Linked DNA regions of Anolis sagrei. The protein of the gene in region 3 purifies or fractionates together with the protein of the main gene of each other region. This does not show direct contact. Links are inferred from orthologs where the notes say so. Each region holds a gene or a part of one and is shown on either strand. Other genes may lie near its edges. The genes, in order: PAN2, CNOT10 and TNRC6C.

Region 1 (10,642 bases), about 17 Mb from region 3:
TAAAAACACTACGTAATTTAATCCACAGAATTTTTGCTACCATATGAACATGTGTCAGGACTTGCCAAATCTTTGGCCTATTATATGAATACTAGTCTGAAGTTATACTCCTTTTCTTCTTTGATAAAGAGATAAACCCCAATACTATGCCTTCAGCTAATAGGGTATGTTTAACCTGCAGAAGAGAAGGCTGAGACAAGATAAGATAGCCATATATAAATATGTGAAATTATGTCATAAGGAAGAGGGAGCAGGCTTGCTTATGCTGCCCTGGAGACTAAGGGCCTTTCCACACAGCCATATAACTTATCAGTCTGAACGAATCTCCCCTTATGAACCATCTAGGACAGGGGTCCTCAAACTACGGCCCGCGGGCCACATGTGGCCTGCTGAGGGCATTTATCCGGCCCGTGCGGCCTGCCCTGGCCTCGTACAAAGCCCCTCGCCACTTGCTAGACCCAATCCCCTTGCCTGCTTCACGCCACTCGTCAGGCCTGGCAAGCAAAGAAAGCAGCAACGGGCTTCGCTCGAGGCCAGGCTGCACGGTGCAACTTGCCTTCCTCGTGCTGCCCGTTGTGCGAGCCAGGCAAAGGAGGTGCAGCCTCCCTTGCCAGGCCCGACAAGCAGCGTGAGGCAGGTGAGAAGATTGGGCCTGACAAGCGGCGAGGGGCTTTGTGCGAAGCCAGGCCGCGCGGCGCAACTTATCTGTCTCGCACTGCCCTTCGTGCAAGCTGGGCAAGGGAGGCTACACCACGCGGCCTGTTCTCGCGCAAAGCCCTCAGTGCTTCCATTGCTTGCCAGGCCCGACAGGCAGCGCAAGGCATGTGAGGGGATTGGGCCTGGCAAGCGGCAAAGGGCTTTGCGCGAGGCCAGGCCACGCGGTGCAGCCTCCCTTGCCTGGCTCACACGATGGGCAGCGTGAGGTAGGTAAGTTGCACTGCACGGCCTGGCCTCACACAAAACCCCTTGCCGCTTGCCAAGCCCAATACACTCGCCTGCCTTGCATCGCCCGTCGGGCCTGGCAAGCAATGGAAGCGGTAAGGACCGGGATTGTGGCGCAGCTGGCTGAGTGTCAGCTGCATTAAGATCACTCTGACCAAAAGGTCATGAGTTCGAAGCCAGCCCGGGCTGGAGTGGGTGTCCAGCCATTGTGTAGCCCGTTGTCGACCTTTGCAACCCGAAAGACAGTTGCATCTGTCAAGTAGGAAAATAAGGCACCACCTTGTGTGGGAGGCTAAATTTAACTAATTTATGAGGCCATAAAGAAAAAAGATTCCGGGGAATGTGGAATGCGGAAGAACTTCATTGGTGTCACTGATAGACGACGAAAAGCAGCAGCTCCCCTGGCGGCCAGAAAAAAAGTTAAATAGCCTTGGTGTATTTGTGTGTTAAACGTTGTTTGTCAAAACTGGCATTGAATGGTTGCCATATATGTGTTGACTGTAATCCGCCCTGAGTCCCCTGCGGGGTGAGAAGGGCGGAATATAAGAACTGTAAATAAATAAATAAATAAATAAATAAGGGCTTCGCTAAATTTAGGCCAGGCCATGCAGTGCAATTTATCTGCTTCGCACTGCCCCTCATGCGAGAGGCAAGGGAGGCAACACCACACGGCCTGTTCTCACGCAAAGCCCTCACTGCTTCCATTGCTTGCCAGGCCCGACGGGCACCGCGAGGCAGGTGAGGGGATTGGGCCTGGCAAGGGACTTTGCACAACACCAGGCTGCGCGCACCACAGCAGCACCCGGCTCGCATGAGGGGCAGTGCGAGGCAGGTAAGTTGCACCGTGCAGCCTGGCCTCGTGCAAAGATCTTTTAAACTTTGAAATGAAATATAATTCATGCTTACATATTCCAAAATCCACTTTATAAGGCAGAAAATAGAATTTTTTCCTCATTCTCATTGGAACTATTTTATCTTCAGAAATGCTAAAGCTATATTTTTCTATGTATTCCTATATTGCTTTCAGCAGCCCATCGTTGGGTGTGTGTGCATGTATGTGCCTTCAGGTCTCCTTTTATTTCTGGCGGCCCCATGAATTTAATGTTTTCTTTGAGAGGAAATACTCAAAAATAGTTTTGTCAGTTTCTTTCTCTGAAATATAGCACCTGCTATTCATTTGTGGCTTCCCATCCAAATTCTAACCAGAACTGGCCCTGCTTAGCATTCAAGATCAGAGGCATTTAATCTTTCATTGACTCTGCCAGGTATTATTCTTCTGTACAGTAGTATCTGTTACCCCTGTGACCCAACTTGTACAGGCAGTCCCCAACTTACAAACAAGTTATGTAGGTTTGTTCTCACTGTAAGCTGAGTTTGGTTCAATTTCATTGTTGGAGTTCAGAATGCTCTTGGTTGGCAGGGGAACTATTCATCCCAGCAACTCTCAAATGCTAAAGTCTATTTTCCCCAAGCCTTTCCAGTATTTTCTGTTGGTGATGGGAGTTTGGCAGATAGGCTAATCAGTAAACATATTCATGGATCCCCTGTTGTTATATTAAGACTATTACCTATGCTGTGACATGCTTGAAATCAAAATTTCATTTATTTGTAATGAGAAATAAATATTTCACAATGTATAATTACATATTGTTTTTGTGATTAATCACTATGCTTTATGTTCAGATTGTAACAATAAAAATACATCCTGCATATCAGATATTTACATTACGATTAATAACAATAGCAAAATAAGATATGTGCAGTGTGCATAGGAATTTTGTCATCGTTTTTTTTTTAACTATAGTCCGCCCTCCAATGGTCTGGGGGACAGTAATCTGGTCCGCTTTTTAAAAAGTTTGAGGACCCCTGATCTATGACCTTAAGACCATCTAGGGAGGCCTTGCTCTTGATCCTGCCTTTGTCACAAGCACATCTGGCGGGGACGAGAGATAGGGCCTTCTCAGTGGTGGCCCCTCGACTATGGAACGCCCTCCCTAGGGATATCAGATCGGCCCCCTCCCTATTAACATTTTGGAAAAAAGTCAAGACGTGGCTTTTTGAGCAAGCGTTTGCAAATGCAGAGTAACTGACATGGAAAATGAAACGACTAGATGATGGACTGGACAATGTTTAAACAAGGAGACGCTAATGATTTTTGTTTTATTGATTTGTTGTGGTTTTATATTACATATTAATGTTTTTAATTGTATTTCTGATATTGTGTGCATCAAATTGTTGCCTGTAAACCACCTTGAGTTGCCTGAGGGCTGAGAAAAGCAGTATACAAATACAGTAAATAAATAAATAACCCAAAATATCAAGGCAGAAAATTCCACAATATCTGCTTTCAACAGGGTTATCTGAGTCCACATTGCCATATATTCCAGTTCAAAGCAGATAATGTAGGATTTTAATCAGCTGTGTGGAAGGAGCCCCATTTCAAATCAAGTATTGTGGGATTTTCTGCCTAGATATTTTGGGTTATATGGCTGTGTGGAAGGGCCCTTAGACTCAGTAGTAATGAGTTCAAATGACTGCTGGAGCTCTCCTGGCATGTACAAATGATGCACCAGGAGAAAGGGGAGGAGAGCTATCTTCCTCTCCTCCTTCTCCTGGTGCATCATTTGTTTGCGCCAGGAGAGACTTGGCAGCCCTCTAATGGAGGCCGGGTAAGTTATTTTGCTTGGGTTTTTTTACACTGTTTTGGGGGTCTTTTGGGGAGGGGGTTGGTATTCTCAGTTTTCCAGGCTAACTTAGCCTGGAAAACCGTGGGAATACTGTCTGGACTACAGTCCAGACACCAGAAGTAATGGGTTTATCCAGCGCCTTCCAAGAAGCTGTGGAATAAATCAAGTAACAAATTAGGGTTTTCCTAGTTTGTGGTGAATTAATCAACTGGACAGCCCCATTTTAATTGTAATAACGCCCACATTAAAGGGGCTATGCCCTACAAAAGTTACAGGTTTGATCAGCACTCCTGATCCAGAGAAAGCAAATGCTATTTTTTCTCTATTTCCCCCAAACCTCAGTTAGTAAAATCACAGGCCAAATTACGACAAAATTATGTGAGTTGTAACTCAAGAAAGTAACCTTTCTCAGCGTTGCCCAGATTAGTCATGGGTTACATCAATGGCATAACCATTTTGGTTTCCTTGACAATTGTTATCCCTCAAGAACATAGCAAGATACTAAATCAAAAGAGTGGCAAAACTGTGTTACTGTTATGAAATGTGCTAAAGAGTGGGGTTGGGCAACTGGAAACTTGGGAGACACATTACTCCCCCCACCCACCCCAGAAAACACGGAAGGCTTTCCCCCATTGCCCTAACTCCCATAAAAAAAGATTTGCTCTCAAATGCTGTGGGACAAAATGAAGTGAGTTATTTCCTTTTTCCAAAACGGCTCAAAAAGGCATAACTCTCAAAATGTAATAGAATTACTCTGCATAGCATTTGAGGGCATTTTTTAAAATGGAGCCGCCAGAGGTGGGTGAAATGCCCCAACATCCTCTAAACCAGTGGTTCTCAGCCTGCGGCTCCCCAGGTTTTGGCCTACAATTCCCAGAAATCCCAGCCAGTTTGCCAGCTGTTAGGATTTCTGGGAGTTGAAAGCCAAAACACCTGGGGACCCACAGGTTGAGAACCACTGCTCTAAACCATTTTGGAAGCATTTCGGAGCAAAGGCCTATGGTTCCCACAAAGGCCTGTCCCTGACCCCGACGAGGGAAGAGGAAGTGAGGTGGCGGGCAACATCCCCGGAACCAGTGGCTCCATCCTTAAAACTGGCGGTTGTTTTGGACCAAAATAGGCCACACGTTCTGGCTCTCAAGAACGCCCATGAAAAACCACTGGGCTCCCGCTCCCCTGCCAACAATCCGCAGGCCATTGTCAGGAAGAAGAGAGGGGTTACCCACAATCCTTTGCTCTTCCGGTTTCCCAGCCGCGACCGCCGCTATGGCAACCCCAGCCCTCTTCGTTCCATCTCCCGCTCCTTCGGCGTAGCTCAGCAACAAGGGGGGCTGATTCCGACCAATCCCTGAGCGCCTTGTGGGAAGGCATCCAATCAGAGCAGACCTTACATTTTACACGAGCGGCGCTACGTGACTAACTGAAGGACGGGATTCTGAAAGGGACAAAAAGCTTGGCGGGTGTTGTTTGTAATGCTTATGAGGTTGAAAGGGGAAGTGAAGCTCGCCGCGTGGCTCGTTTACAAATCACGAAGGAGGGCGGCGGCCTAGTTTGCGCGGCGACCAATCAGCGAGTGCCCTTTCAGCCCCTCGGCCCCCTCTTAGGGTTTCTTCACGGCTTGTTGTTCTCTCCAAACAAGGAACTCGTCCTTTCCCTCCCCGTGAATCAGCGCAGGGCAGCCACCTGGAGGGATGCGCAGCCAGTTTCCTTTTGCGCAACGGGGCCAGAAGGGTATAGCCTAGGGAAGTGTATAAACACCCCTGCCGGTTTGGTTTTGCTGCCTGGCTCCCTGTTCAGAAGATGTCACCTCATGTTCTGTCCCTGTGACAGTTAGCTTTTGAAAAATTTGGCATGTTTTGGAAACAAGGGATTGGTGAAAAGCCTCCACCTTTTCTCCACAATAACAACTCTTTCAGGAATGAATTTCCTTTTCGAGGGGTAGATTTCTCTCGCTTTCTGTTGGCTCACCCTGTTCTTATCTATGAGTCATTTGTAAGTCGGAAGTTTGCAGCCTGTGTACGTTGTCTGAAGCAGTGGCTTGAGCCTTGGATTACAGCTTCGGAAACCAGAGTTTGATTTCCTTCTCTGCCAATGGAAACCTTTCAGTCAGCCCATTGTATGCTAATCAAGGTGGTCAGTTGAAACATTCACACCTAGCTCCAGCAGAAAAGAGTCCTTTGTCCCACCCTGGTCATTCCACAGATATATAAGTCCCCTTTCCCTGGTTCTAACAGACCTCACTACCTCTGAGGATGCTTGCCATAGATGCAGGCGAAACGTTAGGAGAGAATGTCTCTAGGTTAGGGGTCCACAAACTTTTTAAACAGAGGGCCAGGTCACAGTTCCTCAAACTGTTGGAGGGCCGGATTATAATTTGAAAAAAGCATGAATGAACTCCTATGCACAATGCACATATCTTACTTGTAGTGCAAAAAACCCCACTTAAAAACAATACAATAATTAATATGAAGAAAATTTTTAACAAATATAACGTTATTAGTATTTCAATGGGAAGTGTGGGCCTGCTTTTGGCTGATGAGAAAGGATTGTTGTTTTTGTTGTTGTTGTTGTGTTCTTTAAAGTTGTTTCAGACCTAGGTTGACCCTGAGCAAGGGCCGGGTAAATTGCCTTGGAGGGCCATATTCGGCCCCCGGGCCGTAGTTTGAGGACCCCTGATCTAGACCATGGCCATACAGTCCGAAGAAACCTTCAACAACCCAGTGATTCCGGCCATGAAAGCCTTCGACAATACATTGAAACCTTTCAGATTATCCTGGGCAAGTTACACACACAGCCCCAGAAAACCTTGCCTTAGGATTGCCATAAGTCAGAAATGACTTGAAGGCATAGAACAACAATGAAATCATACTTTCCAGATTCTATCATACAATGTTTTAATCGGTTGTCCTTTTCCTTCTCTAATCATTCTAGAAACAATTATCTGTGTCACCTTCTCTCTAGTATGAAGAATATTCCTCGTGGAAGTGAAAAGAAATTCAAGCTTTTACACTTGTGTATTTATCATAGAATCAAAGAGTTGGAAGAGACCTCATGGGCCTTCCAGTCCAACCCTCTGCCAAGAAGCAGGAATATTGCATTCAAATCACCCCTGACAGATGGCCATCCAGCCTCTGCTTAAAAGCTTCCAAAGAAGGAGCTTCCACCACACTCCGGGGCAGTGAGTTCCACTGCTGAACGGCTCTCACAGTCAGGAAGTTCTTCCTCGTGTTCAGATGGAATCTCCCCTCTTGTAGTTTGAAGCCATTATTCCGCGTCCTAGTCTCCAAGGAAGCAGAAAACAAGCTTGCTCCATTGAAACCTTTCAGATTATCCTAGGCAAGTTACACACACAGCCCCAGAAAACCTTGCCTTAGGATTGCCATAAGTCAGAAATGACTTGAAGGCATAGAACAACAATGAAATCATACTTTCCAGATTCTATCATACAATGTTTTAATCGGTTGTCCTTTTCCTTCTCTATTCTAGAAACAATTATCTGTATCACCTCTCTAAAATGAAGAATGTTCCTCGTGGAAGTGAAAAGAAATTCAAGCTTTTACACTTGTGTATTTATAATATTGTTGGTTTCTTTGAGCCTCTTTTAAGAAAGAAAAAGCAGCATATAAATAATAATAAATGAAATAAATATTCAAGTTTTCAAACTATGCAACATGAAAGAGGTCAAGGGCACATTTTGCCATATTTATATGGCTCTTCCCAGACCATTTAAGGCTAAGGAGAAAAAGTGAATGGGAACAAATCCCTGTTTAGGTCTTTTTTCAAAAATAAAAAGGTCTTTACTGGGCCTAAATTGGTCCAAGAACCCCAAAACATAGTGAAAATGCCCTTCACACCCCTATAGCACATTTTGAAACAAAGAAAATTGGTTTTTTACAACCTTGAGGGGACTCTGCCCATTTCTGCTCCAGAAGAAAACCCTTAGGCAGAAATGTTGATAACCCAAGATATAATGTTAGGGATCTGTCCAGAGAAGACTGACCACACACTGGGGGCCCTTCCACACAGCCATATAACCCAAAATATCAAGGTAGAAAATCCCGCATTATCTGTTTTGAACTGGGTTATCTGAGTCCACACTGCCACATATTCCAGTTCAAAGCAGATAATGTGGGGTTTTATTCAGCTGTGTGGAAGGGGCCCAGGAGAGAAATGTAATGCAGCAGCCAGGGAAAGTAGGATGAAGACATATATTTACAGTTATTTTCATATACGTACAAGTGTGCAGACTGTCTTGCAGGCAACAGTTTATCAAGGTCTGTTGAAGTAGCAGATATGTCTTGATGGAATTACCCTAAGAGTGATTTCCAGTTTGTGACATCCCTTACACTATGTAATGTGTAATGATGCAGTCCAGTAGGAATTTTCTACCTGGTGTGCTATACTTAAGCCAACCTATTGTTGTGTTACTGAGTAGTATTTTCCACACCCCAGTTGATCATAAATATGTAAAAATATAGGTTAACATTCAGTGATACAACTTTGTAAACAATGATTACTAAACCTTCAGCCCACATATACCTGAAACTACTAAGACATTTATTTGTGGGTTAGGGGAAAAAAACAAGTGGAGGGAAATCCAAACTTGGTTCTCATTTTGTCCTTTTTTTTTTTTTTTATTAAGTTTTTATTTTATGACATTAAAAAGACACACAAATACGACTGCACATACAAACAGCTAATTACCGACACAACACAGTACAAACAAGGTACAAGTACGAATAAACAAATACGTTAAAAATTGGCCAACCTCAGTTGGCCGGACCTCCTCTCTCCCACTCTAGTAGATCCTCTCTTGGTTTTCGTTTACGGTCTACGTTTGTAAATTAAAGTGTATGTATTTTCTCTGCTGTTTGGTTCTAGTATAGGTTTGTTAAACAGTGTCCTTCTTACTTTAAGAACTTTCGTGCATCATTTCTCTTTATTTCTCGCTCTCGGTTCGTTTTTCTCTCAAGATTCCCAGTTTCTAGTTAAATTTTTTTTATTATTATTATTATCTTGCTCCTTTTCATGATCTGTATTGATTTGTTCTTTAGAATGTTGTTAAGTATAAAAACAGAGGTTTTATCTGGATATTTGCATCGAATCTTTTGGTTTGCGGGGCGATTCACTTAGGAACGACTATGCTCTATATTTAGGTCTATGTATTTACCAACAGTGTATGACAGTTAGGGCTATGGCTGTGGGGGGTGGTGGTGGTATTAACCCATTTATAGTTTTAGCTTTTTCCCCTCCAACCATTCCTCAACCGGTGTCCAGTTTGTCTCTGCTATTGGTATATTTCGTGTAGTTGAAAGAATGTATGATAAATGATCCATGTTCCTTATATCTACTATTTTATTAATCCAATCTGCCTCCAATGGAATTTCCTCTTTTCTCCAAACTTTGGCGAGAAGTATACGAGCCGCCGTGACCAGGTAGACAAATAGCTTATCAGTCCCTTTGTCCCATGTTTTCCCTGTTAAACCCAATAAAAATATCTCTGGATTTAGTGGGATGTTTTTTCTTAATATTTTTTGGCAGTTTTCTTGGATTGTTTTCCAGTAAGCTTTTACTTTCACACAGGTCCACCACATGTGTTTGTAGGTTCCCTCCTCTAACCCGCATTTCCAACATTTATTACACATGTTCTTTGAAAATTTGGCAATCTTGGAGGGCGTTAGATACCACTGGTGTACCATTTTAATCCAGTGTTCTTTGATCTCATAGGCATATGAGTAGTTTGTTTTTACGATCCAGATGGTGTTCCATTCTTCTAGGGATATTGTTCTCCCTATCAATCTTGCCCATTTAACCATATATTCTTTAATTCTCTCCTCCTCTGTAGACCATTCAAGTAGTAGCCCATAAGCTTTGGTGATAAATTTTCTTGGGTTTTCTATTAATCTATCCCAAGCGGATAGGCTTTCCGTGAGACCTATTTGTCTGTCTTTTGCAAAATACTCTTTCAATTGCCAGTATTGGAGCCAAGTGAGGTTGTTATATTTTTCTCTTAACTCTTCTAATGATTTCATTCTTACTTCCTTTCCAACCTTGACAAGGAGGTCTTTATACGTGGGCCATATTCTCCAGCCTATTTCTCTCCTTTGATGAGCCTCCAAGGTGGAGAGCCATAGCGGTGTTTTTGGGTACATTCTCTCCTTGTATTGGTCCCAAACTTTCAGGAGGGCCGCATTTTGTCCTTTAAAGTGTACTGAAGATGATTTTCTTTCCAAATATGAGACTGCACCTATATCTACCAATAAGATTATTTACTGTGCATAATCTGCTTTTCTACTTACATGCCTGTGTGTATGTAAGTATCTACACACATGTACATACACACATTTTTACTTAACTGCAGTGTTTTACTGCATTTCATCCTAGGTAGGTAAATGGAAGGAACCTGCACCAAAATATTTTAGTTTGGAGTGCTTCTTCAAGGTCTCTGCCATTCCACTTCTCTGTATCCCATTTTTTTTCTTCTCCCACTCTTTTCAACTGTCGGTATTTTTTATGAAAATACTAGACTCACACCCCTTCTACACTGTCATATAATCCAGTTCAAAGGAGATCATCAGGATTTTATATAGCAGTGTAGAAGGGGCCTCTATGCATTGACCTGGTCCCCCCTTAATTTTGTCCTTAGTAATCTTTAAAAATAACTCAGGTCCCTTCCACACAGTTATATAAAATCCACATTTAAGTGCATTATATGGCAGTGTGGAGTCAGATAATCCAGTTCAAATCAGATATTGTGAATTATCTGCCTTGATATTCTGGGTTATATGGCTGTTTGGAAGGGCCCCCAGGCCCTTGGGAAGTCAGACTTGGCCACGGTGGTCCACGCTCTTGTTACAACCCGAGTAGATTACGCACTCTACATGGGATTGCCTTTGAAGGTTGCTCGGAAGCTCCAACTACAACCGACGGCAGCCAGGTTGCTCACTGGAGTGGCATACAGAGAGCATACAACCCCTCTCCTAGGCCAGCTCCACTGGTTGCCAATTTGCTAC
Region 2 (10,296 bases), on a different chromosome or scaffold from region 3:
CTGCTTTTTTATTGATCAATATTTCTGCAACACATACTCCTTTTTTCTAAATTGACGATTCTAGCTGAGGTGCAGGTGTAAGTTACAATTTAAATAAACTAAATCCAATGTAAATCCTACCTATTGACATCAATGGAATTTACATTAATTAACACAACTTGTTTATTTCAATGGGTGTGCTCTTGTTAGGACTCATACTGGATTTTGCCAAGTGAACACAACTGCTGAAAAACAGATGCTTGCCCCCCCCCCCCCCCCCCCACTTAGAAGAAGGCTGGAGGAGACAGGAAGAACCAGGAGCCTTTTGCTTCCTTATAAACTTACCAAAAGGTTCTATGAACTGGTAAAGCTTCTCTCCAATTACTATTGCTTCTGTGTACTGTCGCAGATGATACAAAATAACAGCTTGATTGTAATACAGCATGCTGTTTTCAACATCATCCAAGCCATCCATTTCCTCAATTGCTGAATGAACCTGAGAAAGAAAGAACTGAAGCATTGCCCATACATTTTCGGACAGAAGACAATCAAATAAAAAGAGCTGAGTTACTATATTGGTGTTACTAATTGGCCCCATTCTTCCCAGAATGAACTAATTCAAGAAAATAAGACTGCAGCAATCAGTAGTGATCACTGTTCTATTCTTAGACTATTGTAGTATAAGGCCACAGATGTAGGCAAGTAACTGGGTTTACTATATTGTATTTATTGCATGTATGAGTATTAAATACTTAATGTTACAGGAAAATGATAAGACATTTTAAAACAGAGAACAACTTCTCAGTCTGGTTACAAAGCACAATTACAAGAAAACAATACAGCAGTCTAGTTTGGTCTAGTTTGTCCTTTTAATTCCATTACCTTAAAGGACAAAATATTTTCACAGAATTGTGCGTGCTGAGAAGTGTGTGCACATTACAAGAAACTTTAATTACATACTGGGAAAGGTTACTGCAATTATAGATATGCTGCAAAACTATACCTGGTTTTTCAGCTGGTTAAGTGTTTGCTTCAAGTTATCGGTTGTTGTCTGATTGCTTTTGCAGAATTCTGTTACTGCCATATTCAAAACTATTTTGTAGTCATCCTTGTTTATTTCTTGCAAACAGCTAAGATGTTGGAGACAAACATCATAGTTTCCGATCTATAAGTTAAAATTACAACATTTGAATAAATCTGTGTTGAAATAAAAACAAAATTAGAATCCCAAAGCACTTGCTGTTCATTTACACTTACAAAGGCAGATCACATGTGGCTCCACCCTTTGAACACAAGGTTTAGAAGAACAGTTGCTGGTCTGTTCAACCACAGCTTTCCATAAAATCCAATTTAGCAAAGATGCCAAATAAAGCATGTTTAATCAATATATGCTACATCTTGTCTGTACCCAAACACTACCCCTCTACGCTTGGTTCGGCAAAATTATCTCAAACCATTCTGCTCTAAGCCAAGAGTTCCTGGGTGCAGAGCATTAGAGATTTGGTATGCCTTGACCACAGTGTTCTCTGCAGAAGGTCAATATAATATTAGTGTTGCATAATCTTTTGGGACTCCAATGACATGGGAATACAGCAATTGAGTTTTTTACAATATGTTATGTTATTCAATGTAGAAAAGGAGAGACAGAAAAATACCTTTTCCATACAATTGCAAAGCAAGGTCATTAATTTCAAATAATGTTTGACATAAAAGAAAAGCCGTGATTTAAAAATAAAGTTGACTACTAATAGTTCTTCACAAATTTCGTAATCAATGGTAAAATTCTGATAACTGAGGCAATTTATACTACAGTGATTTACTGTTGTTAGGGAGGATACATGTTAAATAAGCTTATTTGACTAGATTTTTACTTAGGAAACAGTATGCAACACCCCTTATATGTTATCAAACTACACATTTCAGCAAAAGAATGTTAAGCTTGGTAATAACTAAACCACATACAAGCACCAATATACTTATTAGGAAATATAAGCACACAAGTATGGAACATTTTTCTGTCTTTGCATATGTCATTTTAGCAACAGAAACAGAAGTGAAAAGACAGTAACTGCCAAGAAGCAAGAACTAATAGTTGAGAGACATTGAAAAACCCATTTTTTTCTTGGATTAATACGCAACTCAGCATGTGACTATGATAAAACCTTCCATTAATTTTCATAAAACCGTATTGTGTTAGCATATTTATAAGATTTCTTTGTACTGTACTTTTGTTATTTAGTGTAGAGGAAGAAAGATGCAGATTGATTTTGAAATAAAATATTCTAATTTAATCTAAAAAATTTCCAGAAGAACAATTAAAAATCTGTAACACACACATATAAAGAAATTAATAATAAAAGTCCAATCACTTAGGCCCCATTTACACTGCAATATAAAATCTAGATTATCTGCTTTGAACTGAATTATATGGCATGTAGACTAATGTAATCTCATTCAAAGAAGATAATCTGGATTTTATATGGCTGTGTAGATGGGATCCTAGTGAAACATATTTTTGTCATGTCAAATAAAGTATTTCCTGAAAGCAGAAAAGAAGATTTGTAACCAGATGTACCTTCTGTTTAACATAACAAAATTGAAGAATCGTATCTTACCGTAAATGCTTGCAGTGCACTGTTTGATAGTTCCTTCTCTTGATCAGTAATCCCAGAAGAGATACCCGTTCCTTCATGTTTTTCTGTTCCTTGATCTAAGTAAGAAATAATTGAGAAGAGAAGAAGGGAAATATAAGAAGATGAAAGAAATCAACGCAGATCTTCAAGGACAATCTTTTACTCTTGTTAGAGAGAAGATATCAGTTGGAACTCTCCCCCCCCCCCCCTTTTACTTCACTTTCTGTTCCAGTGATAATAGGATTTTGAAAAAATCTGGCTTGTTGTGGAAACAAGGGGCCCTTCCAGACAGATCCTACATTCCCAGGATCTGACCCCAGGTTTTCTGCTTTAAATTGGATTATATGAGTCCCCATTGCCAGATAATCTGGGATAAACAGAAAACCTGGGATCAGATCCTGGGATATATGATCTGTCTGAAGGGCCCAAGGATTGGTGATAGAGCTTCAGTGGAGACACCTTTCCCCCATGATATCTCTTTCAGGAGTGGATTTCCCTTCTGCAGTGCAGATTTTTTTTACTTCCTGCTGTCTCACCCTCGTTCTTAACTATGAGTCATTTTTAAGTTGGATGTTTGTAACTCTGAGACTGCCTGTAATGCAGTTGAACTGCATTATAGGCATTATTTAGGTGTGTAGATCCATCCCCACTGCAACTTTAGCTCCTTCTTCCCCTGCCTTCTTTCTCTCAGGCTCTGAAAGGAGAAATCTCCAAGCTGTGTCCAACCAACCTAGAAACAGAATATTATTAAAGAACACAGAAATGCTGGACCACTATAACAACTACCATGTCAGACTACACTGAGAAGCCACTGAAATCCACAAGCATGTGGACTATTTCAAGAGAAAGGAGCAAACAATGAAAATGAACAAAATCTGTCTACCAGTTTGGAAAAAAATTCTAAAATCAGGACTATAAATAAAGAACAGCACTCACAAACAGGGGAATTCCAGACAAGAAACAATCAGGACAGCTTTTTCCCCCCCTCATTTCAGGAGTGACTTGAGAAACTGCAAGTCGCTTCTGGTGTAAGAGAATGGGCTGTCTGCAAGGACGTTGCCCAGGGGACGCCCGGATGTTTTGATGTTTTACCATCCTTGTGGGAGGCTTCTCTCATGTCCCCACATAGGGAGCTGGGGCTGACAGAGGGAGCTCATCTGCACTCTCCCTGGATTCGGAACTGCTGACTTATTGGTCAGCAGTCCTGCCGGCACAAGGGTTTAATCCAGGGGTCTTCAAACTAAGGCCCGGAGGCTGGATACGGCCCTCGAAGGTCATTTACCTGGCCCTAGCTCAGAGTCAACATAAGTCTGAAATGACTTGAAAGCACACAACAACAACAACAACAACAACAACAACAATCCTGTCTCATCAGCCAAAAGCAGGCCCACACTTCCCATTGAAATACTAATAAGTTCATATTTGTTAAATTTGTTTTTCATTTTAATTATTGTATTGTTTTAATGTGTTTTTTTTGCACTATAAATAATATGTTCAGTGTGCATAGGAATTCATTAATGTTTTTTTTTTTCAAATTATAATCTGGCCCTCCAACAGTCTGAGCGACTGTGACCTGGCCCTCTGTTTAAAAAGTTTGAGGACCCCTGGTTTAATCCATTGTGCCACCGAGGGACTCCTAATCACTTCCCAACAAAGGATTCCCTCAGGCAGGAAGCAGCCAAGCTTTGAAGCTGCGAGGCTATTCAACACTAATCAAGGTGATCAATTGCAACATTCACACTTGCCTCAAGCAGGCATGAGTTTTCTCCCACCCTGGACATTCCACATTTATATAAACCCCTAGTTTCCAACAGACCTCTCAATCTCTGAGGATGCCTGCCATGGATGTGGGTGAAACGTCAGAAGAGAATGCTTCTGGAACATGGCCATAATGCTTAGAAAACTCAGAGCAACCCAATCCCCAAACTGTTTTAGACTCCCAACTCCCAGCTGCTTGGGCCAATAATCAGGGATTCTGGGAACTGGAGTCTAACATAACTGAGCGACCAGGGCTTTAAAGAGACTTGAGATTCCCTTGACTTGAGATTTCCAGAGAGAAAGCCAGGAGAGAGATACCGAAGGAAACCCTGTCATAGGTACCCTTCCTCCCGCCAAGGGGCCTGGGCTGGCCTCCTTCCCTCCCTCGCCGGCCTCGCCTCTTTGTCCTCACCTCCGCCTCTGTCTGCCGCCATGGGGTGGCTCTACTGAAGGCTCCCGAGGTAGCTGCGGCCTGGGCGGACTCCACGACAAGGCCTTCCGCGCCTCACAAGCCTCCGCCTGAGGGAAAAGTGAGGAGTCGCGAATCAAACAAACCAATTTCTCCCCCTCAGCGCCTGACCCGGAGCTTCTTCTTCTTCTCCTTCCGGTTCGGGGAATGGGAGCTTCTCTAGCCCCGAACGTCTCCTCGCTGTTCTCAGCGCAGGGAGCGTCACGTGCGTAAAACCTGCAGTGGGCGGAGCTAGAAGCTTTCAAAGTTTTAGTGGGCGCGGCCGACAGGAAAAGAGAAGAGGGACCCGGATGTCAGCCTACTTGGGAATAGCAAGTAGCAGCAAACTTGGGCCCTCCCGGTCTTTTGGACTCCAGCTCCCACAATTCCTAACAGCCGGTAGGCTGTTAGGAATTGTGGGAGTTGGAGTCCAAAAGACCTGGAGGGCCCAAGTTTGCCCATGCCTGATCTACGCTGTAAGATAAATGTAGTGTGAGCCCATGGCACTTACAGTGGTCTCAAACTGAATTAATTCTGCAGTGTAGATGGATCCTCCACCTAAATCAAACCTTAAGCCTCCTATTGAGGGAGGGGTGATTATATTATATTATATTAATAATGTTGTAATATTATATACTAGCCGTCCCCTGCCAGGCGTTGCTGTGGCCCTCAGAAAACAGGAATTCCAGGCATGGAACAATAGAGACATATGGAAGGGACATTGAGAAATGGAACAGAAGGTAGATGGATAGAACATAGGTAGGTAGATGGATGGATGATCAGACAGACACACATGTTAAAGGGGCCAAAGGGGGTTGGACTAGATGGCCTTTGGGGCGCCCTTCCAACTGGTTGGCCATCTGTCGAGTAGGGTTTGATGGTGTCTTCCTTTACCGCCCAATGAGGTTGGACTGGATGGCGTTTGGGGTTCCAACTGGATGGCCATCTGTCAGAAGGGCTTTGATGGTGTCTTCCTTTACTGAAAAAGTGGTGGGGCTGGATGGCCTATGGGGCCCCTTTAACTACCATGGCTTAATGCTGTGGAATAATTCCATGGTGTAGACCAAGTAGGGGCAGACTTGGGCCCTCCAGGGGTTTTGGACTCCAACTCCCACAATTCCTAACAGCCTTCCTAGCAGCCTTTTGGGGTTGGAGTTGTTTTTGTCGCTGTGTTTTTCAGTGTTTTTATGAGTGATGGTCACTTGTTGGCCTGATAAGTGTATTGTCTCCAAATTTGGGTTAAAGCGCTGAGCTGCTGAGCTTGCTAACCAAAAGGTCGCAGGTTCGAATTTGGGGAGCGGTGTGAGCTTCCCTTGTCAGCCCCAGCTTCTGCCAACCTAGCAGTTCGAAAACATGCAAATGTGAGTAGATCAATAGGTAACAGTCCGGTGGAAAGGTAACAGCGCTTCATGCAGTCATGACGGCCACATGACCTTGGAGGTGTCTACAGACAATGCCAACTCTTCAGCTTAGAAATGGAGATGAGCACCACACCCCAGAGTTGGACATGACTGGACTTCATGTCAGGGGAAAACCTTCACCTTAACTTATACACCTTATGATACAGTACAATATATTATATAGTACTAATGGTATAAAATACTCGTAGTGTATTATATGTATTGTTGTATAATAATATAGTATAATATACTGCAGTATTCATGTTGGTTTGTTTGCGGAGATGTGGTTAGTTAAATAGCCTGGACCTGAACCATTTAGAGCTTTATCCATCTGAGTCTATCTATCTGAAATGTGGTCTTCCTCTTATCTTTCCTACTATCTTGTACCATGTTGTTGTTGGCCCTTCCACACAGCCCTATATCCCAGAATATCATGAGAGAAAATACCACAATATCTGCTTTGAACTGGAATATATGGCAGTTTGGACTCAGATAACCCAGTTCAAAGAAGATATTGTGGGAGTTTCTGCCTTGATATTCTGGGATATAGGGCTGTGTGGAAGGGCCCTAAGGTTCTGAAAAAGCACAGAGAAAGAGCTGATTCATGAAACAGTTGCTGGACCGTTTTTAGCTGTGTTTCTGTTGTGTTAAAAGTGTTTTTCCACTAGGTGGCATTATACAGCAGGTTAGTATGCATTTTAAATTTTAAAAGTCCTCTGAATAGCACATTTATTCTGGATAGAATGTTATTTTCATGCAACAAAATGTATCCCTTCACCTACATCAGTGATCGGGGAACTTTGGCTTTGCAGATGTGGAGCTGCAGCTCCTTATCACTAACTATCCTGACGAAGGGTGATGACAGTGGCACTTGGGACAATGCTTCTATAGGGTGTCTGATGCAAGCCTTTTAAAGCTGCTCTTAAAGCGTTAAAATGTTATAACCTTGGAATTAACTATCATTTTCCAGTCACAAACTAAGACAAGTGTTATGGATTTAATTACATAAAAGTGATAGCTTCCCAACCCTGGGGAACTAGAATACAGCAAAAATCTTTGAGAATTAGGTTTTGAATAAAGAACCATCTGGGAAAGATAAAATGTGTCAGCTTCTTACCATTGCCTCTCATTTTATTAATTAATAACCTAACTCAAGAATTACATTAATGCTGACATTCCAGCACAAATGGATAATTTTCATTTTAAAAAAAGTACCCTTTTATCATTACAAAAATTTCAACTTAATTTATTTTAGTTTCTATCCCTGTTCTTATCTAACACAAACAGTATATGCACAATATATTTAAAAGTAATATAGGAAATGGGATTTCTGCAGATATCATACAAGCTTCAAAAATTATCTCTCTCACATAACTAATAAAAAATATAGGAGTCCTTTCCTCTTTTTCACATGATCTTTGGTTTGCCTTTCATCTTTCAAATATGGCCATTCCAGTCAGGCTTGATCAGGAAAAGTAATTTCAGAGAAGAAAGTGGGCCTGTCACCAGACACCAGTATGATCCAACTAACCTCAGCTTTATAATTGTTCAGTTGTCCCTCCACATTTGTGGATTTAACTTTTATGGAGTTGATTATTCATGGATTTGATTAATATGATCTTTAGATCCTGGCAGAAGCTGACCATAGAGTTGCATTGGAGAACTTCGAGATTCTGAGCAAGTTGTTCTCTTGGGTAGCAAAAATAACTATTTAAAAATTCACATTTTCCCATTTTCATAAGGGTCCTGCACCCTCAACCATAGCAAATGTAGGAGAACTGATAGTACTTCTTAGTTATTATTTAAATCATTTCCCATATTTTCACCTCCCCCTCCCAGTTAGTTATAAATAGAATATAAAATATAATAAAATATGCATTCGAAATAAATAACAGAAATAAAAATACAACAATAATAGACACCCAACTAGGTAGACACCCCCCCCCCTTCCAGCAGCAGCCTTGAGTTCCTATATTGACAAAAAGGAAGGAAAAAATAAGTACATATAGAGATTATAAAGTGATTAAAAGTTTTGCTTCTGAATAAAGAACGGAAACAGAACAAATCCTTGCCTAGGGAGTTCCACTAGAAGTCGCTATAAAGCTCTTCTCTTGTATCCTTGCCAGCTAGAGATGTGTATGTTTTGAACTACTAAACAATTACCATGCAATTTAAATGAGAAATTACTTTGTATGTTAATCCCTTCTGCTTTCTATTTCAACAAATATAGGCAGCTAATTGTACTTCTGCACCCCCGGCTAGAATAAGCACATTTGTTTAGGTGTAAATACAGAATGTCTAAGAAACTTCATATTGTAACTCTGCTTTGCATTAGCTCCTGCATTTATGTGTCACGTGGGAGAAAAGGGCGGGGAAAGGGAGTCAAGAAATAAACATCTCACCATGTTACAAATCCAATTATCAGTGACAGGGCTAGTAAAGTCAAGTGAGTAATGCTGGCTAAAAGCAGCTTTGTGTTTGGCATCTCACTAGAGATTGCTAGAGACCAGCTGTACAAAGCGGGGTGGAACACCAGGTTTTGGATATACCATACCATGTCACCGTACTTTTTCTAGCATACACCTGTGTTGGAGAGAAGGAAGAAATCCAGCCCCACAGAAACAAAATATCTATTCCTGCTGCATTTGAGCTAGAAAGCAGAATTAATGCCTGGGTGTAGTCAGTCATAACCACAAGACAGCTCAGATTTAAAGGGAGCTTTAGGCAAAGCTCGGCTAATAGCCCTGGAAGAGGCAGTTCTTGACCATATGTCCAATTCAGAGAATTACTCTGCCCTGATATTTCAAGTACATTTGGACTGACTGAAATAAGGCAATTTAAATAATTAATATTGTTCCTCAATTGCTTTTAATAAGGATTGTATGTTGGGGAAGAAGGGAAAAATTAAAGTCTCCTCCTCCTGGGCAGTTCTACCTATAATGCAATTCAAAGCTGGATCCAGAGCAGGTTGTCGACAAAATCCACACACACACACACCCACAGGGATGCATCAAGCCTGCAATAGCATGTTTTAAAAAACTTAACCAGAAAGTCTGGAATATGGTAGATAATGTGCTGCAGTTGGATCAGAGTATATGTCATGCAGGGCTTGAAACCAGAACTGAAAATTTGGAGCGCTTGTCAGGACACCTCTAGTGCTGAAGCACATTAAAGATGCCGAAACATGGCTGGCTGAAAGGTAAACAATTACTCCCCTTGGAGAAAAAACCCCCACATAATTCCCATGACAATGCTTGCTTTTCATCCCTTTGTTTTATGTTTTGTCACTTATTATGGTCAAGTGCGGATATCAAACTGACATGGATATGTGCATCAGCAGGCCAAGTACAAAAAACCCTCTGCATTTTTGGGTGGATGTTTAGCCATGGGTGCTACCTGTGTTTAGGTTCTGATCCACAATCAGCAGGCCACCATCCCAGCCTTGAACCAGGTTGTTTGTGTAGACACAAAACGGCTTGTTTGAATCCACTTCCAAACTGGATTATAGTGTCTGTGTAGAACCACCCCATTTCATATGTCACCTTTCCAATATTCTGTAAATATCTGGAGAAATGAATACAGTTGGCGCTCCATAACTATGGATCCATAGATTCTACCATGTATGGCTTGAAAATATTCAAAAACAAATCCAAAAAGTAAATCTTGATTTTGTCACTCTATATTAGGAATATCATTTTACTCTGCCCCTGTGTAGGGACCTGAGCATCCATGGATTTTGAAGCCAAATTCCAGTGGAGATACCAAGGGCCTATGGGCTTAATTTGGTACTACCAAAAGCATCATGAAATAATATTCATGATACTTTGTTGGAAGATTTAATCAGCAGTATACCTCCATCAATCACTTACATATCTGGGTAATATAAGTCTGTGTTGCCCTGCATTATTAAAACAATTGCATCCCATTTTCAGACTGTTCATATTAAAGATTAAAGATATTGAGGCTCATGTCTGGTCAGTCCTCTGAGTAGAAAGTTTTGTTTCCTACTCCCTGATAATGCTCAGTATCACAATGAATACTAGTAGCCAATCAAGGTTTCTGCACATGCTCAGTTGTA
Region 3 (10,662 bases):
GTATTGGGGTAGCGATACAAAAAGTTTGCTAGGGTAGACCCTCTTTCACTCAGACTCAGCCCCCCCCCCCCAAACAAACTCAGCCCCCTCTCCCAAATCGAAATCCTGACTAGGGCCTGATCGCATCAGATAGTTTTATATCCATAACGACAGAACTATAGAAAGTTTTCCCCCTGTAATTGCTTTTGATATTGCTTTTGATATGACACAAGCTGAAATGAAAGCTTTAGTTCTATATGATGAGGGGGGAAAGTACTTCAGAAAGGGAGAAGAAACCATTTCCTCATATTTTCCATCCTCCAGGGACTTCCTATTTCCCTTCAGGTAGTAAATCCTTGCCTGAGACCCCAGAGAGGCATAGATAGGGAAAACATAGCATAGTGAGAAAGACTAAGAGAATGGAGAAGAGAGCAAATGGTTTAGTTTGAATGTTGGACTATGATTCTAGAGTTTTGAATCCTCACAAGGCCGTGCAAACTACACTGGGTTACCTAAAGCAAGTCTCACTATTTTAGCTTCTAAAGGCAATACATTTTGCCCATGATAGGTTTGCCTTAGGGATGTAATAAGCCAGAAATAACTTGAAGGCACATATAAGGACAACAGCAGCATAAAGTAGCTTCCTGTATTCCCGGGAAAAGGTGATGGAGAGTGGAGAAGCCACCTTGTGGTGGATGTTAAAGAGATTTCCTAAAGCAAGGAGAGTATTATCTTAACCTTAAGGTGACATTCTTCACACATATTCTTTACACATACAAATCTCTTTCCTCTACACACATACTATGTGATGAAGTTTAAGTGGAATGATTTAACAGAGCAATTTCTTCTTCTCTTTGCACAACTCCACCCACCCCTTTTTCTTCTCAACAAATGACACCACAATATGTGGTATGCCTTAGAAGCTGATAGTTCCCACGAAGACATCATGGAGAATATATATATATATATATCAACAACCTTGGTTCTTTTCTATACCAACTTATAAAATTTGTGTTTTTAAGGATCTCTGTGTCGACAGAAAACACTGCCTTATTTTCCGTTCCTCCAATTGCTTTGCTTGTCAGCTGATAGGTATTCAACCACCATCCTGAGTAGTGACAATTCTGATTAATCCTATCTCATCCCACTTTTTGACCACAATACTAAAGACAGTCTATCTCCATATGACTTCATATTACTAATAATTGAAATCCTTCTAGCACATTCCTCCAATTTCTGGTATGATTGGTAGATACCCAGGAGAGGGACTTTTCCATTGTAACACACAGTATGTAAAACATCCTGTCCTGTTAAGTTATATTTTTTCCCAACTCTTTACTGATGTTCCACTGCTGACTGAAGTTCAAGGAGCTTTTAAATTTACCTGGGGCATAATCATATTTAAAACTACAGCAATCTTTCTCATCTTTGCCCATAGCCGCTGCATTTGGTATATTGCTTTTTCCTATTTAATTGACTTGTTTGTTTTTTAAGTATTTATTGTTGTTGTTGTTTTGTTATGTAATCATTTCAAGCACTTTCACTTCAGAAATAGAAAAATGAAAGGATGTAAGTCCTTGAACAAACCTTCTGCTTGATGTTTTGATGTCACTTACCCATAAAGCTACTAAATAGACTATAGATCTGGGATACTGTTGAGAATAGCTCTTTCCTTGTATTATGTCAGATCATGTAAAATGAGATGGGAGTGAGAGGCAATTAGGGAGTATTCCCAGGGGTTACCTTCCTACCTTCTGCAATGATGAAATGCTTCCATGATTGGATGTCCTCTATTTATTTGAGATACAAGTCTTTTCGTAACCCTGAGCACCTCCAGACAGGAAGTTTTTGATACTAACCAATAGATCTCTTCGGTTTCATGAGTAAGGACAACTGCTTTATATATATTTTCTCTCTCTTTCTGTGAGATTGTTTATGTGTATGTACATCCCACAATGATCTGCCCAAACTAATACAGGCAGAGAGTTTATTATTGATCATTGTTAATTGCCTAATGACATGCATATGCATTTCTGGCATCGATGTAGATGCCACAAAGGGATAATTATGAGCATACCAACTGAAAAGTTCAAAAGTCAGATTAAATCAAGACTATAATCTTTTTGACATCATTTGATCATTATTCAATCACCTTTTTATTAAAGATGCGCTTCACCCTGCGATTTGGGATATATTGTCATCTTCTGCAATATATTCAAGGGCTTATCTCAGACTTTTCTGTGAATTTTAAAAATATGCTGTAACCCCTTTAATCCACAGTGTAGCATTCATTTGGAAGTGAAGCTGCATTAAATAATAAGTGGAAATGGGGCCTTAGTCTACTTTAGAAATAACTTCTGAAAAAGAGTGAACACATTTTTTAAAACCCCCAGTGTGCTTCAAAATTCTTGTTATCTTTTCCCAGACCTGAGCAGATGCAGATTGGGCAAAACAACAAAGTGCCTTGTAATTTTGTACATTTCATCCAGTACAAGCTTTTGTGAAATGCAAGCCAGTAGCTACCCCCGAAAAGTGACCAAGCAAAGCAGTCTTTCACTCATGTTGAATATCAACCACAAGATGGCTCCCTGAGCATTCTCTTTAAATAGTTTGCTTGCTTTCTGAAGAGGCTGTCTTGCTAAAAACAACTGCTTGACTTACCTTTCTGTGCATGTTGCCTAAGGCAAAAGTCATATCCCGGTAACTACTCAAGTTTATCTTTTTAAAAATAAAGAGAAAATTCAATCATGCTGCTCATTGTCCCAATGGCACTTACTGTAATTAGGTACAAAAGCTACTAGAAGGAGTCCCTTGAAGTCTGTGCCATCTACTACATTCCATCTTGAGAATCTGACCATACAGACTTCAAGAAATCTGTATTCAGTTAGCCTTTCTCTGCTTTTTACAACTTATTCTATGAAGAGATCTGGGGTTCCGGAAAGCTTGCCCACAGTTTTACAAATATTTAGACTCGCTGTACATTTTGGATTTTTTTCTTGATTAACACAACTTTGTTTTCTTACTTTCAAAGCATTGTCTCTTATCCTAAGGTACCATTGCTCAGTTATGAATAATGCACATAGCGGATATACTGGGCTAGGGATGATCAGATTATTATCAATAAGTATGAGGATACCTTCGTGACTGTCCTTGGATTATGTGGCTGGTCACCATCATGTTGCTGTAGATTAGTGGTGCCCTCCAGGTGTTTGGGACTCTAACTCCCAGAAGCTCTGGCCAGCTTGTGTAGTGATCAGGAATTTTGGGAAGTGAAGTCCAGAACATCTGAGGGACCAAAGGTTGGACACCACTGTTCTAGATGATCCTTGGATCTGATTCTAATCCAGAAAAAGAATCAGGGCTTGGGAAGTTACTTTTAAGAACAATGACTGGCAGCCTACATTTCAGTTATGGATTTGTAACCTAAAGTTACAGATCTGTATCTGCTCCATATTTAGCCATGTTTCACATTCACAATTGTGGTGCTACTGCCATGACTGCAAATGTCCATCCAAACATACCTTGAATATCATTTGAAGTGGGGTGCAAGGAAAACAAAAGAGCCATCACCCACAAAGAGTGATTGAAAGTCTGTTGTTGTGGTAAGCCGGCTAGAGCAAGATGATGTTTCTATCTCCCTCCTACCGCAATCAACGCTGTGACAATAAAAAGTAGGGTCCTCATTGCACAGCAAATCATTGGTGGAAGGGAGCTGAGAAATGTCATCATGCTGTACCCTGATTTTTAAGAGAACAGGCACCCATTTCTCCATGTGGCTGCTAGCATTTAGAGTGGGGTTTTGGAATCTGGACTGGAGACAAAATGAAGTTATTCATTCATAAGTATTTATTTAATATAGTACATTATGGATTATAATGACATACTGGAGCCATACATAACTGAAGGATAATACCCTGGGTCTCCTTAAAAGTAATTTTCTAAGTTCTGGAAACACATCATATATAAATGGAAATTTGATTTAACACGCAACTCTAGAAATTTCTCCCAGAGAGACCACTGGCTCCAGGTTTTGGCTCACTGGCCCCAAATGATATAGGTATTCCTTGTCCTGGATAGCATTTTACCAAACTAAGTGCTATCCATGGGACATCTATTGCATTTAAATCCCTATATGCATAAATTTCAAAAGAAAGGGCGTAGTAATCATGCAAGGAAAAAGCAGTTATTAAGGTGGTTTAATGCAATGAGAAAAGGTTAGCAGAAACACCAAGTTCACGATCACTCCATTTGCCAGATGGAACAGGTACATGTGGTTTGTGTTATGTGCATTCAGTTTCCATACTTCTAAGTTCTGAAAATCACACTTATGACCAAGTCATAAAATAAAAAAAATTCTATGTGTCTGGTAAACATTTCAAATATTGTGTGTCAAATAAATCTGAACCTACAGTTTTCTAGGTCTCAGTTGTCTAAGTCATTTAGATACCTAAGGGGTGTTTTGTTTTATTTTAGTCTTTCCAAGTAACTTTGCATTAAGCACCCCATTTTCTCCTGCAAACATCTGGTTATTCATACATCTTGGATGCCTCCCAGGGGATCTCTGATAAATGAAAGCACGCTGGGTATACATTATGTGTCTACTTACAATGGTACATTTTTACAGCTGAATACCACAAACATGCATATAAATCATTACATCATAAAAAATGTCATTAGGAAGTACTAAAGTTTCCAAAATTTAATGCATATTGTCCTAGCTGTAAAAGACAATACCTGAGAAAACCAGCTAGGATTACAATCAACAAATTGGTACAAAATGGAAGGAGGAGCTAAACCAAATGTTAGCTATAAATTTTGTGAACACCACTGTTAGATATTCTTTGTTGTAGAAATTGTACAGCTCAGAGTTATGACACTCATTCTCCATAGTATCTCAGTACTCAGCATTTGCGACAAAAACAAAAGACAACCCTGGCCTGCAATCGCTCTTTGTGCAAGCTATTGTCTTACCTGGCTAGGTTGGACTGCAGAATCTTTGATGCTGACCTTCCCATGAAAAGCCATTCAAGCCCATCCTCCCTGAAGACTCTTCTGGAGATCAGCGGCATCTCTGCATGAGGAACATGTGACGGTCAGTTTAAACAAGGAAGGACACATCAATTTACCAAAGGCCTAGTGCACAACATGTTGCTGCCTAAGGCAGAAGAACCGATAACCTGCCCTCCCCAGTCATCTGGGTTGCAAGATCCTCAAAGCGAGCCAAATTCTTTGGGCATACAAGGAGGGGAAAAATCCCATAAACACTTTTCCTCATATCTGGCACTGAACAAAATTATAACAAACCAAATAAATATGATTTAATTGCATAATTAATTAATTGTATGATTGATTGATTGCACTGAAAACCTTCCAAAGATGCTCTGTGGGAGAAAAATCCTTCTCTACCTAGGAATTTGTCAATTACACTTATACCCTCGCTTCCCTACATCATGGTGATGTAGATTCCTCACTTCTTCCCCATTTGATCATCATATCAACCCACATTATTTTACATTACATTTTTTCTTAATTGGATATATAACAAATGTAAAACAGATTTCTAAAAGTTTTCCCATTCATAACCATCTGTTGTATGATATAATAAATCAGGTTTGTGACAGTTCTTCCTTCCTGATTGTGATCAGGTAACTCAAACTAAAAATCAATTCCAAGTGTTGCCATAACTTTCTGACCTCCTCCTGTTTCTACATATGGTTTCATTAAACATAGGATCTTTTACTCTTTGGGGATCAGTTACAAAGAATGCTAAGCTCAAATGCTTCTGAATAGTTCAGCCCACTGGATCTTCTTGTGTTAATACTTTGAGTCTTCTTATCTAAATCATGCTATATCCCTAACAAGCAGGAAGAAGTTTTGCAAAATCCAAGAGAACTATAATTTAAATTAAAACATAAAGTTTTTCAAAATTAATTTTAAATACTTATTTTATATTCTAAAAAAAAAAAGAATTTCCAAAAGTTTGCTTAGAAGGCACACAACAGAGTTGCCAGATCAAATCCAAAACTTTACTAGGATCTTTATTTTGATCACAGCAAGTTTGGGAACTCTTTGTTTGGCTATGTAGGTTTTTAAAAAACGTATTAGGAGTTTACTTAATAAAACAGTAAAATATATCCTACCCTCCACCAGCACTGACAACATTACATGATTCTAAGTGTAACCAAATAATTACTTGTAGAGATAGCAACAAATGTAAGTAGTCAATATCCAAAAAGTGCCCCTTATGACTTCCGGTTGGGCGGCAATGGCAGCTGGCAGGGCTCCGGGGACTCTCCCGAGAGCCAACCCTTAAGCTGCAAGCAGAGGGGGTGTAACCCTCAACCCTTGGACCGGATCGAGTGTCCAAGAGACGCTATCTCCATAGCACCTCGAACCGACGGTCTAAGAGTGGGTCCCCCTCAAGGAGACTCACCAAAGACCCGGACGAGAGGAGGCTGGGAGCTGCGGCTTGCTGCAGGGGACCCGGTCCCAGGGAACTGGGAACTGGGATAACAGCCGACCGTGCGCTATTTTAAAGCGGTGAGAGTGGTGGGATCTGGGAGACGGCACACCAGCAGCTGGAAGCGGAGCCCAGAAAGGGTAAGACTTAATAAAACAGTAAAATATATCCTACCCTCCACCAGCACTGACAACATTACATGATTCTAAGTGTAACCAAATAATTACTTGTAGAGATAGCAACAAATGTAAGTAGTCAATATCCAAAAAGTGCCCCTTATGATAGCTCCCAACTTATGTGGTTCAATTGTGAACCATGTCTAGAGCATGCCATATATGTTATAAACAAATGTCATACTGTCTGAAATATATATTTATGGTTGCGAAGTACTTTTTAAGTAGAGGGACAATTGATGGTCCCTCAGACCACTGGAGGAGGTGGACTATAGGTTGGGGAAAAAATGAACGAATTCCTATGCACACTGAACATATCTTATTTGTAGTAAAAAAATCATGAAAGAACAATACAATATTTAAAATAAAGTATAATTACCAGCATTACAATGGGAAGTGTGGGCTTACTTTTGGTTGATGTGATAGTCAAGTTAATTAGGATTGTTGTTGTGTGACTTCATGTCATTTCAGACTTAGGGTTACCCTAAGTCTAAAGTTTAGGGCAGGGACTGGGTAAATGATCTCGGTGGGCCGCATCCAGTCCTCAGGCCTCTGTTTGGGGACCCTGTACTGGGTGATCTTGGGCAAGTCGCACTGTCTTAGCCTCATGTATTGATAGAATGTATTAATTTGGGGGGGGGGGGGGGAAGAGATGTGACCATCATTACATAGAAAGATACACATTTTTGTGAAAGGGAATGGTTCTTGGTCTAAGGAAGGAGATAGGTCTATGCCGTAATTATCAAGTGTTCCATTGCTTCCATATAACTGTGAAAACTGGGTAACGTAAATGTGTAATAGCACAGAAATGTTTCTGGATATATATACAATACATTATAAGTATAAAATATCAATAAACTTCATTGTGGCTACCAAGAAGTTTTACAGAGAGGATTAGCTGTACTTAATGCTTCTTTACCAGATGTGGTTTGCCCAGTATCTCAAATCCTGTAGAGATGGCAATTTTCACTAGTCACCCAGCTACTTTTCCTTCCTTCCTTCTTCCCTCCCTCCCTCCTTCCCTTTATTTATTTATTCAAAGTTTTAATGGCTTGCTAGCCAACAGCTCTCCCTATCTGGTCATCTTTAATTCTTCTTCATGTAAGCTTGCTGCCCTGCAGCATGAATCTGTTGCTTTTTGTTTGTATTCCAGTTCCATCATGTTTTTGAAGTTCCTCCTCCAACTTCAGTCTGCCTTCTCAAACAAAATGGAATGCATTCATTTTCTCTTGACTTACTCCTTCCTCTCTGAACTTTCCATGTTTTTGTCCCTTGAATCCAATCCTTTGTTCTCACTGCCTCATTAATATGTCATGACCAGGTGGCAGAATACATTTGAGGCCTTTAAAAGCCCCAAGAAAATGGATTCTGTTACCTCCAGGATTCTGGAGGCTATGGTTTGGTTGTGGGAGAGAATACTGTGGCTTTGCTAGAGAAAGATGGTTGATACTCCCATTACAATATTTATTTAATATATTTGACCAGTTGTTGTTTTATTTAGATTGAATCCATATATTTGCATATTTCACTAGGTCTACTGTGAAAGCTAGCCCAGATAGCAGTGTGCAAACGTTTATGTCTCACTATCAACGCTGAGGAAAGATTCACCTGTCAATCCAACTTTTGCACAAAGAAACAGGAGAGTGCTATTTTGTTCTTTGCCAATGTCATCTTGATTAAGATCTGAAACTTATTTACAAATAAATACAGGGCATTACAGATACTTTTATGTGTGAATTTTAAAGCTGCAATCCTATAATGCTTATTTGGAAATAAGACCGACTGAACCTAGCAAATTTATTTCAGAGTAAACCTGAATACGTTTATGCTGCATATTGACTGTGAACTATGTTTGCATGATTTATGAGAGGAATACATTATAATTATAAATCTAGAATACAGTGGAAAGAAGGCAAGCATCACTTAAACTTGCTATTCTTTCTATTAGGACCTTCTCACATGCACCACCGTAATCTCCCTGGATCACCGCAGATTGCAGTGATACCAGCAGCACTCATCCAGGGCGCATGGCAACCTGTTGTCTTGCACCCTGTCATGGTTTAAAAAATAAATGTCATAATTAAAATGGTAAGGTACTGAGGCCTTTAGACTTGGCCACATTGCAAAATGCAGAGTCACTCATGTCTAGGCCTAGGCACTCTGTAAATTAATTAATTGAAAACAACCAGTTTTATCCACAGTCATGACTGCATTTTACAAATTTTAATATTTTATTATGCAATATTGTAGGTGTGTGCGGTAATCTCATGTTATTATCATGTTTGTGAGATTACAATTGCCCCAAATATTGTTTATTTGAGCCGCCCCCAAGTCCCTTTGGGGAGATGATGGCAGGGTACAAATAAAATGTATTATTATTATTATTATTATTATTATTATTATTATTATTTATTAGCACAGTCAGGTGACTGAGCTAGTGACTCATGGGGGAGAGTAAAAAAAAGCAGATACCTCCTATGTGCTCAGCATAGTCTGTTGTAGGACAATGGAGCTGTGGATGGGGCAAAGAGCTGAGATAGAGAGTGTGTATATTGTGTATATAGCTTTGTCTTCTGAAGCAAGTGAAGATAAAGCTTTCCTGCATACTGCAGTGAAAGGACTTCTATTATTATTATTGCACAGTGAAGTTTCCTGCATTGCTCAAGGACTCTAGGACCCAGCTGACTCATGGCTTGGGGGTGCTTCCAGTACTCTACTGAGGCAGAGGAAAATACCTGACATGCCCCACATTGTCCTGGCTTCCCCCCTACCTCAGCACATATGGGGAAGCCTTCTTAAGTTGGCTCAACCATCTTTCCCAATGGAAAGATGGGAAGCCTCCTGTGGACCACCACCAGCGACAGGGTTTTTGAGGCAGGGTTTTGGCAGCAGTTCAGCCCTGGAGCCATCCCAGAAGTACTTCTCCAGGGTATGGTGAGAGCCATCGGGGTCTATGGCTGAACTGCTGAACACCTGTCATAGACCACCAAAAAATAACCCATGTGAAGAAGTCCTATGACCAATGAGGCCCATAGATCCTACTGTTGTATCACGCTCCCCCCCCTCCCCAAAAAAAGACACACAAAGCCTCCAACATGTACCAATTGCCAAAAGCCCACCCACACCCACAGAAACCTCATTTGGTGACATCATTTCCTGTCATCATTTTGGGAAGGACATGCACAAAACTTGAGGTATTCAGGCACAATGTTGGTGGGGTATATAGTCCACTGAGGAAAATTTGTCTCCATTTCTCACCTTTGTTATACTCGTCTATGCCATATGTCTTTGATCACACCATACATATTAATTCACATGTGTTAGATGAATGTCAGCAAAAAACACATCTTTTAAAGCTGTGTGGCATGCAGACAGCAAATCTTGGGTGGTCCTGTCAGACTTCTAAATGAGGAAAATTGACTTCAACAGTGAAAGATGTAAAGTTATATTAGGTATCAAAAAGCAGAAGTGTTCTCTTTTCAAGGTTGCACCTGAGCAAGCTCAGAATAGTCAGTTACAAGATGGCTATACAATTGAAAAAGGCACAAAGAAACATTCAACAGTAAATCTAATTATTGTTTCATCTCACTGGAATATATCATTATTGTAACAGGTAGTTTGTACAAGTTTGAACAAGTTTAATTTTACCATAAAATACTTTAGAGAAATATGCTAATTTACTATGCCTATCCTATCCCTAGTTCATGGACATACAGACATCTGACATACATATGGCTCTTAGTTAAGAACTGGGGTGAAACCGCAGGAAGTGAGGGAAATTAACCCTAGGAAGGCAAATTCACTCCTTAAAGACTTATTATCATGGGGAAAATATGTCTCCACTTAACCTTTCTCACCAATCCTTGTTTCCACAACAAGCCAAATTGTTTAAAATCCAAATACCACAGGGACAGGAAAGGAAGTGAAATCTTCTGAACAGTGGCACAGACACCACAGGGGTATTAACCCTTCCCTATGCTAGCTAAAGCTCTATCTATCTATCTATCTATCTATCTATGAATGACATTATACTTTAAAATGTGCCTGTTC

What was found.
Region 1: the proteins of TNRC6C (region 3) and PAN2 purify together in Homo sapiens (affinity purification with western blotting; 3 studies listed by BioGRID and IntAct, with this or other methods). This does not show direct contact. The link is inferred for Anolis sagrei from reciprocal best matches to the Homo sapiens genes TNRC6C and PAN2.
Region 2: the proteins of TNRC6C (region 3) and CNOT10 purify together in Homo sapiens (co-immunoprecipitation; 3 studies listed by BioGRID and IntAct, with this or other methods). This does not show direct contact. The link is inferred for Anolis sagrei from reciprocal best matches to the Homo sapiens genes TNRC6C and CNOT10.

The regions. Positions count from the first base shown.
Region 1 is NC_090022.1:138,615,367-138,626,008, forward strand, and holds the start of PAN2 (PAN2-PAN3 deadenylation complex catalytic subunit PAN2), read right to left. Parts: upstream 4,980-10,642; 5' UTR 4,852-4,979; intron 1-4,851. UniProt on the Homo sapiens protein: Catalytic subunit of the poly(A)-nuclease (PAN) deadenylation complex, one of two cytoplasmic mRNA deadenylases involved in general and miRNA-mediated mRNA turnover.
Region 2 is NC_090026.1:81,512,020-81,522,315, forward strand, and holds the start of CNOT10 (CCR4-NOT transcription complex subunit 10), read right to left. Parts: upstream 5,032-10,296; 5' UTR 4,805-5,031; coding exon 4,783-4,804; intron 2,690-4,782; coding exon 2,595-2,689; intron 1,145-2,594; coding exon 983-1,144; intron 476-982; coding exon 325-475; intron 1-324. UniProt on the Homo sapiens protein: Component of the CCR4-NOT complex which is one of the major cellular mRNA deadenylases and is linked to various cellular processes including bulk mRNA degradation, miRNA-mediated repression, translational repression during translational initiation and general transcription regulation.
Region 3 is NC_090022.1:121,164,895-121,175,556, forward strand, and holds the start of TNRC6C (trinucleotide repeat-containing gene 6C protein), read right to left. Parts: upstream 5,040-10,662; 5' UTR 5,005-5,039; coding exon 4,951-5,004; intron 1-4,950. UniProt on the Homo sapiens protein: Plays a role in RNA-mediated gene silencing by micro-RNAs (miRNAs). Required for miRNA-dependent translational repression of complementary mRNAs by argonaute family proteins.